Elephas maximus indicus: one gene and its partners. The protein of the gene in region 2 interacts with the protein of the main gene of each other region in a pairwise test. Links are inferred from orthologs where the notes say so. Each region holds a gene or a part of one and is shown on either strand. Other genes may lie near its edges.

Region 1 (3,747 bases), on a different chromosome or scaffold from region 2:
AAGGTTCTAGGGGGTCATCAGGCCTCAGAGGAAATACATTGATGGTTAGGGATGGCTACAGGCCTCCACTTACACACTTACACCCTTGGGTTAGGGAGCCGTGGTTTTGTGACACTGGAACCCACAGTCACCTATGACCTAGATCCAAACCCGAACCCACTGCCCTTGAGTCAATTCTGACTCACAGTAACCCTACGGGGCTGAGTAGAACTGCCCCATAGGGTTTCCAAGAGTGTAAATCTTTATGGAAGTAGACTGTCATATCTTTTTCCTGCAGAGAAGCTGGTGGGCTTGAGCCACTGACCTTTAAGTTTGCAGCTGAGTGCTTTAACCACTGCACCACCAGGGCTCCTATGACACAGATAAAACCCACAGATACAAAGGCTTATTTATTTCACAAGAAGCCTAGGGCAGGAGGAGGCAAACTAACAGGCCCTGCAGCTACTGCTGGTCAAGGGCGCTGCCACACCTAATACTATACTCCACTTTCTACTACTTAAGCAGAAAACTACTTTATTTACTTTTGATTTACTTGCCCTTTGATTTACTTTTAATCAGATTTCGAGAGCTGGAGGTAATGTAGCCTGGGTCATACTGGCTTCCAACCAGTTCGTTCAGGCCCCAGGTATACGATTCAGAATCCACATTTTAACAAGATCCCCTGGTGATTCTTATGTATAATAAGCTTTGAGAACCACAGCTCTACTAGTGGCTCTTAGAACTGGCCCCTAACCAGCAGCTTTAGCATCACCTGGGAACTTGTAAAGAATGCAAACTCTCAGCAGGGGTTCCGTCCCAACCAATAGGTTCAAAGACCTGTAACACCATACGTTTACGAGGCAGTATACGGTGGCAGTATGAACGTAGACTGTGGAACCAGACCAAGTTCCAGTCCTGGTTCTCCTGTGATCTTCAGCAAGTCAGTTTATCTGAGCTCCCGCTTCCTCATCTGTAAAAGAGAAATAACAAATGTACCTCAAAAATTGAGAGGATCAAAAGAGATAATACATGGTGACTAGTACATAAAATCAAACCAGTTGCCGTGGAGTTGACTACCTGGAGAAAGCACTTACCCTAAGCAGGCGCCCCTCCCTGCTTCTCCCGGAGCCCACCAACCCTTCCTCTCCCAGAATCCCTCAGCTCACTTCCTCTGCTCCTCCGACGCTCCTCACAGTGTCTATGCCGCATCCCTCCACCCCGCGCGCGCTCGCGTGCGCACCGCCTCCTCTTTATGTCGTGCTCCTCGCCCTTTCGCGCGCTCCTGGGCTCACCCACCCGCGCGCTTCTCCTCTCTGTGGCGCGCTCCCTTTGGCTTCTGGGGTGCGCGAGTTTGCTGCCTAGCGACGGGACGCGGATAGCCGGCAGGAGTTCGGCGCGTGCGTGCGGCGTGCGCATCGAGAACGCAGGCGCAGTGGTCCGAGAAAGGTTCGTCCCACTTTCCTTGGGTCGCAGCGGGCAGAGGCGGTTCTGACAGACGTTGCTAGGAGCCTAGGGCTAAGGGGGCGCCCAAAGGCCATGTGAGGGTTAGCTCCGCACCTGGGGTCCCGTTTGCCAGCTGCTCTTCCTCCTCCTCCTCTTCCTCCCTCGTCCTCGGGGAGCGCGCCTTGTGTAGGGATTTGCCAGATAAAACACCGGACGCCCAATTAAATTTGAACTTCAGATAGACAACGAAAAACATTTCAGTACCCTGGTGGCGCAGTGATTAAGAGCTCGGCTGCTAACCAAAAGGTCGACAGTTGGAATGCACCAGCCACTCTTTGGAAACCCTGTGGGGCAGCTCTACTCTGTGCTATAGGGTAGCTATGAGTCGGAATTCGACTGGACGGAAATGGATATAGTGTAATACAAAATTATTCGCTGTTTAGCTGACATTCAAATTTCACTGGGTGTCCTGTATTTTTATTTGCTTAATCTGGCAGCCCTACCTGGATCTGTCTCCCTGGTTTGGGCGAGGCATCTCAGTCTGTCTCTTGTGGCACCTTCTCCAGATTTGAGGCGGCTGTTTCTGTGGGAAGGGGCTTTCTTCTTTTGATCCAAGATGCTGCCTATTGGTGTATATGAAAAATAGCATTCCTTTCAACAACTCTGTGAAATGGGTACTATCACCATTTCGTGGACAGGGAACAGATGCCAAGTGAGGTGACGAGCCCCGCCCAAGTCCCACTGATGATGGGCTGCAGCACACCGTGGACCCGTTCCTACTCTTAATCTCCCGCATTAGGGACCCTGCCCCCTTCCCGCGTGTTTTATTTTTGAGGAGCAGCGGCAGGAGGCCCTTCCCTCTTTTATGTTACTCCACTTCAAATGAAGTTGAGATATCTTTGTAGTTTCTTCTGTTTTTAGAGAAGTACAGTGAAGATACTGTGTTCCAAAGTCAGCTGTAATCTTTTCCCTGTGTGGTTAGGACACCAGTGCCAACCTGATGGGGAGTTAGGTTCATTTGTACCAGTTTGCTTTTGGTCTGTAGAGTTTTTAATTTTTACACACACGGCATTCCTTTCTCACTGCTGTTGCTAATACAAAGGATGGCATGCTATATATACTTGCTGCACCTTGCTTTGTTAATGTCCTGAATGTCCCTCCCTGTTTTAGAGGTCTTCCTCATTCTTTTACATCTGCATAGTAATTGATGGTGTTGCTGTGTATCATCGATCTCCTGTTGATGAATAATTGAGTAGTTTCCCAGTCTTTGGCTATTCTAAGCAGTGGTGCAAAATAACCTCGTGCATATGTCGTTTCGTATTTTTACAGGTGTATCTTTGAGCTAGGATCTTTGAGCTAGGATCCCAGAGTGAGATTGTGGGGTCGCAGAGAAGACATGTGTAGAGTCTGCCAAATTCCCCCCATACCATTTTGCACTCCCATCAGCATTGCATGAGAGAAGAGCAGTATTGGGGGTCTATGCATAGATCTCAGGATGTCAGTGTTTCTGAGATCTTAATATAAAATGTCAGGTGCATTGGACTAGGAGCAGGATGTGGACAGCCTGGCACTCTGTCCCCATGCCTGTACACTAACTCCTATACCACGCCTTTTCTCTTACCTGGAAGGCTCTGCCTTCTCTTTGCTGTGTTGACCGCATGCTCACTCCTATACCAGCGCCTTTTCCCATACCTGGAAGGCTGTTGCTTCTCCTTGCTGGGATGACTTTTACTGTTCCTTCAAATCTTAGTTTGAACATCACCCCTCAGGAAAGCTCTCCTTGACTTTTCCAACTGGGTCAAATCCTCCTGTTATCTGGTTTGCATAGTACTCATGACAATTTCAATTTTACATTCATTTATTGATGTTAATATTTGATTAATGTTTGTCTTCCCTACTCACCTGTAAGCTCCATGAGGGCAGAGACTGTGTTTTGTATTCCCAGCATCTGTCAAGGTGCCTCAGTTTGTATTTGTTGAATACAAACACACACAAAAAAGCCATTGCTGTCAAGTTGATTCTGACCCATGATAACCCTATGTGGTGCAGAGTAGAATTGCTCCATAGGGTTTTCTTGGCTGTAGTGTTTATGGAAGCAGATCACCAGGCCTTTCTTCTGTGGTGCCACTGGGTGGGTTTGAACTGCCAACCTTTTGATTAGTAGCTGAGTGCAAACCATTTGTGCCACCCAGGGACCATATTGTTGATAGGCATTCAGTATATATTTGTTGAATAATGAACACATTTCATCAGCTTTTTCGAGGAGTCTAAATTCCATAAAAGGGCATGACCAGCAGAGATGCAGGGTGTTCAGGACATGTCGGG
Region 2 (3,747 bases):
TTCCTCCCCCATTAACAAACTCACTGCCCCTAAGCTTCCCATCTAATCTTTCAAGTTGCCTGTTGTCAATTTGATCCCATATAGATAGTTCTTAAAAAAGCATAATGTCAAGGCTGGTCTTTTTTACTAGTTAAGCTAAACTATCGTTTGGTTTTAAGATGACTTCAGGGGATATTTTTGGTTAGGGTTTAAAGATTATCTCAGGGCAACAGTTTCAGGAGTTTGTCTACCTTCCATGGCTCCAGAAAGTCTACAGTCCATGAGAATTTGAAATTCTGATCAGCATTCTTCTATGGAATCTTTGTTCAAAATATTTAGTAATGGCAGCCAGGTACCATCTAGTTCTTCTGGTCTCACAGCAAATGAGGCAGTTGTTCATGGAAGCTATTAGCCCACATTCCATATCTTCCTCCTGTTCCTGACTCTCCTTCTGCTGTTGTTACAGGTGACTAGAGACCAATTGTTGTGCCTTGGATGGCCACTTGTAAGCTTTTAAGACCCCAGGCACTACACAACGAACTAGGAGGTAGAACAGAAGCACTAAACACGTTCTTAGGCCAATTAACTGGAGTGTCCCATGAAACTATGACCATAAACCTCCTAACCAAGGAACCAAATCCCGTAAGGTGTCTGGCTGCACATAAGCAGCTTTTTGTTGTTGTTGTTGTTAACATATCTATTATACCACTTTTGCCAATTCAACTTTTTACAGGTGTACAACTCATTGACAGCAATTACAATAATCGGCTGTGCAACTGTGCCCTTAATCAATGTGATTTTTCCCTCACCATTAACCTCCCCCCTTTCCACTCTTCCTCACACCCCTGGTAAAAACTAATAAATTTTGATCTCTATATGTGTGCCTTTCCTTGTCTTTTTATATATAAGTGAGGTCATACAATATGTGTCCTTTTGTGAGCTTATTTCGCTCAGCATAATGTCTTCAAGCTCCGTCCATATTATAGCATGTATCAGGACTTCATTTCTCCAACTGGCTGAGTAGTATTTTATTGTATGTATGTACCACATTTTGTTTATCCATTCATCTGTCAATGGGCATTTAGGTTATTTCTGCCTTTTGGCTATTGTGAATAGTGCTGCAATGAAAATTGGTGTACATGTCTCTTTTTGAGTCTCTGCTTTCAAGTCTTTTGGGTATATACCTAGGAATTGTTGGGTCATATGGTAGTTCCATTTTTAGTTTTTTGAGGAACTGCCACACTGTTTTCCACAATGGCTATACCATTTTGCATTCCAATAGCAATGGATAAGGGCTCCAATTTTCCCACATCCTCATCAACATACATTATTTTCTGATTTTTTTTTTTTAATCTAAGCCATCCTAGTGGGAATTAAATGGTATCTCATTGTGGTTTTGATGTGCATATCTCTGAAGGCTAATGAAGCTAAGCATCTTTTATCTTTCTTAGTTGGAAAAACCATCACCACCATGCAGGCAATCCCTGCTGTTAGCAAATCCCTCTAGAAGGCATGATGTCAAGCCAAGCCACATTCCCAGGGCCCTTAACACCACATCCCGTGACCAGCAAGCAGGCCCCACCTCCATCTAACTGGCAGTCACTGTGCAATTACCTCCGCTGGTAGGAGGTCTTGGAGCTCCACTCTGCCTGTTTGGAGCTGCAGATGTCAGACAGTTGAAAGTAGCGACGGTTCTGATCCCACTGCTGCCGAAGCCAGTCCGCCTGCTCTCGCTGCCGTGCCAACTGCTGACTTAGGAGCCGCCGGCTGCACCAGGAGGAGGGCAGTGTGGGCAGTGCCATCTGAGGAGAACAGCGATGGCAGGAAAGTGAGCCAACTGCAAACCCCAGGAACCCTCCCGAGCTCGGCCTCATCCCTCTAATCAATGGCTCTCGCCCCTGGCTGCACATTGGAATCGCCTGGTGGAGCTTTCAAAAAAATAGTAGACCAATTAAATCAGAAAATCTTAAGAGTGACGCCCAGGCAACGGCATTTTAAAATTGATTTGCTATCAGCACTGCAAATCGCTGACTTAAATAAATGTGGGCTGCACTGGCTGTGGGCCAGGCATTATCGGGGGCACTGAAGACAGAGACAGAGAACCACTCCTTGGGGAGGTTTATACCCTGCATAAAGTAACAGTGACAATCATTTAAGGAACATCTTAGGAGCAGTCTCATCCCTATGACCACCTCTGTTATTTGGTAGATAAGAAAACTTAAGTTTAAAGAGGTGACATGACTTGTCCGGGAACACTCAGCCAGGAAATGGAGGAAATAAAAGAGATGCGGTTCTAATTCACGTTGGTCTGAGTCCAGATTCCAGGCTCTGTCAACTGTGACAGGCTGTGTGTTGGAACCAAAATGCCCTGGCAGTCCCCAGACCAGGTGCTGCAGCTGAAAGTGCTCTGGGCCATCATGGAGGGCAAATCCCTAATCTCACAGATGGAGACACTGAGCCTCAACATCCACATCTGACAAGCGGGATGACAGCGGCAAGTGTCGGAGCAGAGTGAGGACGGGAATCCGGGCGCCCTGTCCTCGTGTCCCCAGACCAACCCGCGCTCCCGCCACTGCGGGCCGACAGCGGCCGGGACCCTGTCCTGGGCCCCACGCTGGCTCCCGGACGAAGCTAGCCTCCCGACTCACATTTCTCTGGGTCCTGGAGTTTCCCAAGCGACCCACCCAGGCCAAGGTCCCACAAGCCGGACAATCTCCCCGCAGGCCGCGCGGCACTGACGCCAGCCGTTTCAAAGTTCGTTGTCCCGGCAACGGGCCTGGCGACGGAGCGTCGCGAGGGCCAAGCCGCCTCCAGCGCGATACTGAGCGCGCGGAAGAAAGAAAGGCGTCTGTTTTCTCTGGCGCCTCCTAGTGTTGGGCGGGCGATCAAGAGCAATTGTCGCTTTTCAGAAAGCCCAAAACCAAACCCATCGCCGTGGGGTGGATTCCGACTCATAGCCACCCTATATGGCAGAGTAGAGCTGCCCATAGGGTTTCCAAGGCTATCATCTTTATGGAAGCAGGCGGCCACACCCTTCTCTCGCAGAGCGGCTGGTGGCAGCCTTTCGGTTAGCAGCCAAGTGCTTAACCACTGCACCACCTGGGCTCCTAAAGATCACTAGTCCTTAAAATAAGGAACGATGGAGGAAAAGAATCCGTTCAGTACACGGTAACCTAGGGGGATGAAGGTAAGGGTGGTAGGAAATCACGGGGATAGGATAGAGGAAAAGAATATAAGCCGCCTGACTGTACATGAGAATGACCTGGAGAGCTCTAAGAAATCCCGATCCCCAGACTAAACCCCAGACAAATCACTCGGGGGGGTGGATCCCGGGCATCAGTTTTTCCAAGCTGCCTAGGTGCGTTTGGTGTGCAACCAAGGCAGAGACTACCGATGTAAATAGATGTAGGGTACTGGTAACCTTCTATTGTTAAAAACCAATGAGTAGATCCCCAACTTTGAGTCCCTTCTCCCCATTATCCAAAAAAAAAGGGAACGATGAAAGAAAGCAAGAAGCAAAGCAACTCACATTTCTTGAACACCTGCCATGTGCCAGATGTTTTTAACATTTATTACCTTGCTGAAGCCTCCCTTGTTGCCTTCACTTTGCAGATGAGGAAACTGAGGCTCAGAGAAGTGAAGCAACTCTCTTGAGGTCACACAGCAAGGACAGGAGGCAGGATTGACACCCAGCCCCCTGAAGTTGTGAGTCTCCCATCTGTTTCTCTAGGAGCTTGTAGCCACCATCACTCAGCTGCTAAGGGAAAG
Region 3 (3,747 bases), on a different chromosome or scaffold from region 2:
GTTTACAAGTGAGCAGGTAAGAGCAGTGGGCTGGCCTGGAGGAAGAGAGCACTGGGGAGTGTGGGAGCAGAAAGGAGACAGCAGGGCCTGCGTGGGGGTATGAAAGGGAGGTGACAGAGTGCAGCGGAGGGGGGTGTGAGGAGGCAAGTGAGGGGCCAATCAGCTGGAAAGGAGGGATGGGGAGGCTGAGGGGCAGGGCTGGCCATGGGGGAGGGAGGGCCTACTGTTGAACCCTGTACAGCCTGGGCCTTTCATGTACATTCCTATGTGGCTGGTGGTGTGTCCTCCCCTTTTACAGATGAGAAAACTGAAGCCCAGAGGGGCTAAGCTGTGCAGTTCGTAAGGGGCAGAGGAGGGATTTAAGTTATCACCTGTCTTGATCCAAAGTGCATGCTGTTTCCAGGGTACATTCTACTTTTGGCAATCCTGGGGGCTCAAAGGTAGCCCCCGAAAGTGGGGTTGAATCCAGCAGGGGAAAGAGAGTCATAGGATTTCTAGAACCAGAACTAAAAGGACTCTGAGATCACCTGGTCCAGCCTGGTCACTTTACTGAGGGGAAACAGAGGCCCAGAGAGGGGAGGCAGGGACCTCAGATCACACAGCGAGCAGAGCAGAACCAGGCCTAGAGCCCAGCTCCTGCCTTGCGTGCCTAGAGCTGGGCTTGTAGGATGCCCACAGCCGTATCTGGAGACAGCCCTGGGATGGCACTGCTGAGGCCTCCCTCAGCCAAGGCCATCACAGTGGGGCAGAGAGTCCTTTCGATAGCTGGCTCATTGCCAGGGGACGCAGCCACTGCAAAGCTGCCTGTGCCGAGGCCCTGCTGGCCCCATGGGCTCCAGGAACCAAAGCTGGGAGTCTCAGCCACCCAGCCTGAGTCACTACCGACTTGGCATTTGTGTGTTCTTCTCTCAGTCCCACGCCCCCTGGAGCTGGGTGTGAACCCTAAGCTAGCAGACAGCGAAGTGAGTAGACCCCAGGCTTAACAATCCGGAGAGGGGAGTTGGACGAGCCTGGAGTGATGAAATCTGGAGGAGAACCTACAGTCAGCAGTCATGGGGGCCCCGCCTTTCCCAGACAGCATATAAAGTTTCCAGCAAATCAAGGCAGCCACAGCATCCTCTCTCAGCCTTCCTGAGCACCTCCCGGGCATTCTACACGCTCTCTCCTTCATCTCCTTCTCGGCACCATGACTACCTGCAGCCGCCAGTTCACCTCCTCCAGCTCCCTGAAGGGCTCCTGTGGCATCGGCGGCGGCTCCGGCCGCATCTCCTCTGTCCTGACTGCAGGCTCCTGCCGGGCCCCCAGTGCCTATGGGGGTCTGTCAGTCACCTCCTCCCGCTTCTCTTCTGGGGGAGCCTGCGGAATAGGGGGTGGCTATGGCGGTGGCTTCAGCAGCAGCAGCTTTGGTGGGGCTCTGGGTAGTGGCTTTGGTGGAGGATACGGTGGTGGTCTTGGTGCTGGCTTTGGTGGTGGCTTTGGTGCTGGGTTCATTGCTGGTGATGGCGGCCTCCTCTCTGGCAATGAGAAGATCACCATGCAGAACCTCAATGACCGCCTGGCCTCCTACCTGGACAAGGTGCGTGCCCTGGAGGAGGCCAATGCTGACCTGGAGATAAAGATCCGTGACTGGTACCAGAAGCAGCGGCCCACTGAGATCAAAGACTACAGCCCCTACTTCCAGACCATCGAGGACCTGAGGAACAAGGTGAGTGGGCCAGGTGGCTGGCCCTGGTGCACAAAGCATTGAGAGAGGCCAGGGCTGCAGTGGCCCTTAGGAAACTGACTCCTAGCATCTCTGCTTTACAAACAGGGAAACTGAAGCCCAACTTGGGGGGTGGCCAAGGGTCACCAAGAATTGGTGGCAGATGGCTCCTTTTCAGCATCTATGTGTCTGAACTGGGGCTGGAACCTGGAATCTCTTATTCCCTTGGAGGGTTCTTTGCATGGCACACTCAGTTTCCCTCAACCTCAGGCCCAGGATGAGGGTGGAGGGAGATGTGGGGTGTATCACCTACACATCCTGAGATGGGTGAAGAAGGTACCCCAGGGTGGCTGGGTGAGTGTAAGGCCTCCCAGCCAGGCCACCCCCAGATTTGGGGAGGTTCCTTTCCTCCCCCTCTGCCATTTGCCCTCCAAGACTGAGGTCCTTGACTGACCAGGCCTCCTGTCCCTCCATTCCCACCCAGATCATCAGGGCCACCATTGAGAATGCCCAGCCTATTCTGCAGATCGATAACGCCAGGCTGGCAGCTGATGACTTCAGGACCAAGTGAGCAGTTACTGTGGTGGACTGAGGGCAGGGGCAACGAATGGGGCCGTCCGCTCAGGGCTGGAGCCTGATGCTCTGACCTCTGCCCCTTAGGTACGAGCATGAGCTGGCACTGCGCCAGAGTGTAGAAGCCGACATCAACGGCCTGCGCAGGGTGCTGGATGAGCTGACCCTGGCCAGAACTGACCTGGAGATGCAGATTGAGAGCCTGAAGGAGGAGCTGGTCTTTATGAGGAAGAACCACGAGGAGGTGAGGCCCCTGCTGGCGTTGGGGGTGGGAGGCTGGCTTAGTGGGATTGCTAGATCTACCTGGGGCCAGGACAGGGGCCTGCTGAGCTGACCGACTCTTGCCATCCCTCCCTAGGAGATGCTTATCCTGCGGGGTCAGACTGGCGGGGATGTCAACGTGGAGATGGACGCAGCTCCCGGTGTGGACCTGAGTCGCATCCTGAACGAGATGCGTGACCAGTATGAGCAAATCGCGGAGAAGAACCGCAGAGACGCTGAGGCCTGGTTCCTGAGCAAGGTGGGACTCGGATCCTCAGCTCTCCTGTGGGACCTTGCAGCTGGGGAGACCTCTGAGCATCTGAAAGCTCTTACCCTTCTTTCCTGTCTCAGACTGAGGAGCTGAACAGAGAAGTGGCCTCTAACAGCGAACTGGTGCAGAGCAGCCGAACCGAAGTGACTGAGCTCCGGAGGGTGTTGCAAGGCCTGGAGATCGAGCTGCAGTCCCAGCTCAGCATGGTATGGAAGACCCAGCCCTGCCCTATCCCCCAGGTCATCAGTAATGGCCAGTACCCTCTCAACACCACAATACACTCCTATTCCTCTCTTCCTTTTCTTTTTTTTGTCTCATTGTCCTGCTCAGGAGTGGGACAGGAGGGATCATTGTATCCATTTTACAGATGGGGAAGCTCATGCCCAGAATGATGGAATAACTTTGCTCCCTGTTGACTTGCCCGTCAGTAGCCCACCTGGGTTCAAACTCCACACACGTCTCAGGAAACATGTCCAGAGACCTGGAGAGACAGACAAACACCTCCGTTGACTCTCTGTTTCTCACTCCCACTCGCAGAAAGCGTCCCTGGAGAACAGTCTGGAGGAGACCAAAGGCCGCTACTGCATGCAGCTGGCCCAGATCCAGGACATGATCAGCAGCGTGGAGGAGCAGCTGGCACAGCTGCGCTGCGAGATGGAACAACAGAACCAGGAATACCAGATCCTGCTGGATGTGAAGACACGCCTGGAGCAGGAGATTGCCACCTACCGCCGCCTGCTGGAGGGCGAGGATGCCCAGTGAGTGGGGATCCAGTCCTGCCCCACAGACCCTCCACCCCCCCTACTCCACCCCCACCCCTGCTTCTGCCAGCACATCTAACTGCTCTGCCTTTTCTCCCCCACAGCCTCTTCTCCCAGCAAACGACTGGCCAGTCCTATTCTTCCCGCGAGGGTAAGACTCCTGGGCATTCCAGCCCCTC

What was found.
Region 1: the proteins of TCHP (region 2) and DYDC1 interact in binary tests that used the Homo sapiens proteins (3 or more experiments, as listed by UniProt). The two-hybrid records come from large-scale screens. The link is inferred for Elephas maximus indicus from reciprocal best matches to the Homo sapiens genes TCHP and DYDC1.
Region 3: the proteins of TCHP (region 2) and keratin, type I cytoskeletal 16 interact in binary tests that used the Homo sapiens proteins (3 or more experiments, as listed by UniProt). The link is inferred for Elephas maximus indicus from reciprocal best matches to the Homo sapiens genes TCHP and KRT16.

Annotation. Positions count from the first base shown.
Region 1 is NC_064826.1:131,933,390-131,937,136, forward strand, and holds the start of DYDC1 (DPY30 domain-containing protein 1), read left to right. Parts: upstream 1-1,339; 5' UTR 1,340-1,425; intron 1,426-3,747. Other genes in the region: DYDC2 (DPY30 domain-containing protein 2), read right to left, coding at 752-828. UniProt on the Homo sapiens protein: Functions as part of axonemal radial spoke complexes that play an important part in the motility of sperm and cilia. Plays a crucial role during acrosome biogenesis.
Region 2 is NC_064840.1:20,432,745-20,436,491, reverse strand, and holds the start of TCHP (trichoplein keratin filament-binding protein), read right to left. Parts: upstream 2,755-3,747; 5' UTR 2,628-2,754; intron 1,782-2,627; coding exon 1,594-1,781; intron 1-1,593. UniProt on the Homo sapiens protein: Tumor suppressor which has the ability to inhibit cell growth and be pro-apoptotic during cell stress. Inhibits cell growth in bladder and prostate cancer cells by a down-regulation of HSPB1 by inhibiting its phosphorylation.
Region 3 is NC_064837.1:48,668,470-48,672,216, reverse strand, and holds the start of keratin, type I cytoskeletal 16, read left to right. Parts: upstream 1-1,186; coding exon 1,187-1,705; intron 1,706-2,186; coding exon 2,187-2,269; intron 2,270-2,362; coding exon 2,363-2,519; intron 2,520-2,633; coding exon 2,634-2,795; intron 2,796-2,887; coding exon 2,888-3,013; intron 3,014-3,344; coding exon 3,345-3,565; coding exon of another isoform or gene 3,566-3,569; intron 3,570-3,672; coding exon 3,673-3,719; intron 3,720-3,747. UniProt on the Homo sapiens protein: Epidermis-specific type I keratin that plays a key role in skin. Acts as a regulator of innate immunity in response to skin barrier breach: required for some inflammatory checkpoint for the skin barrier maintenance.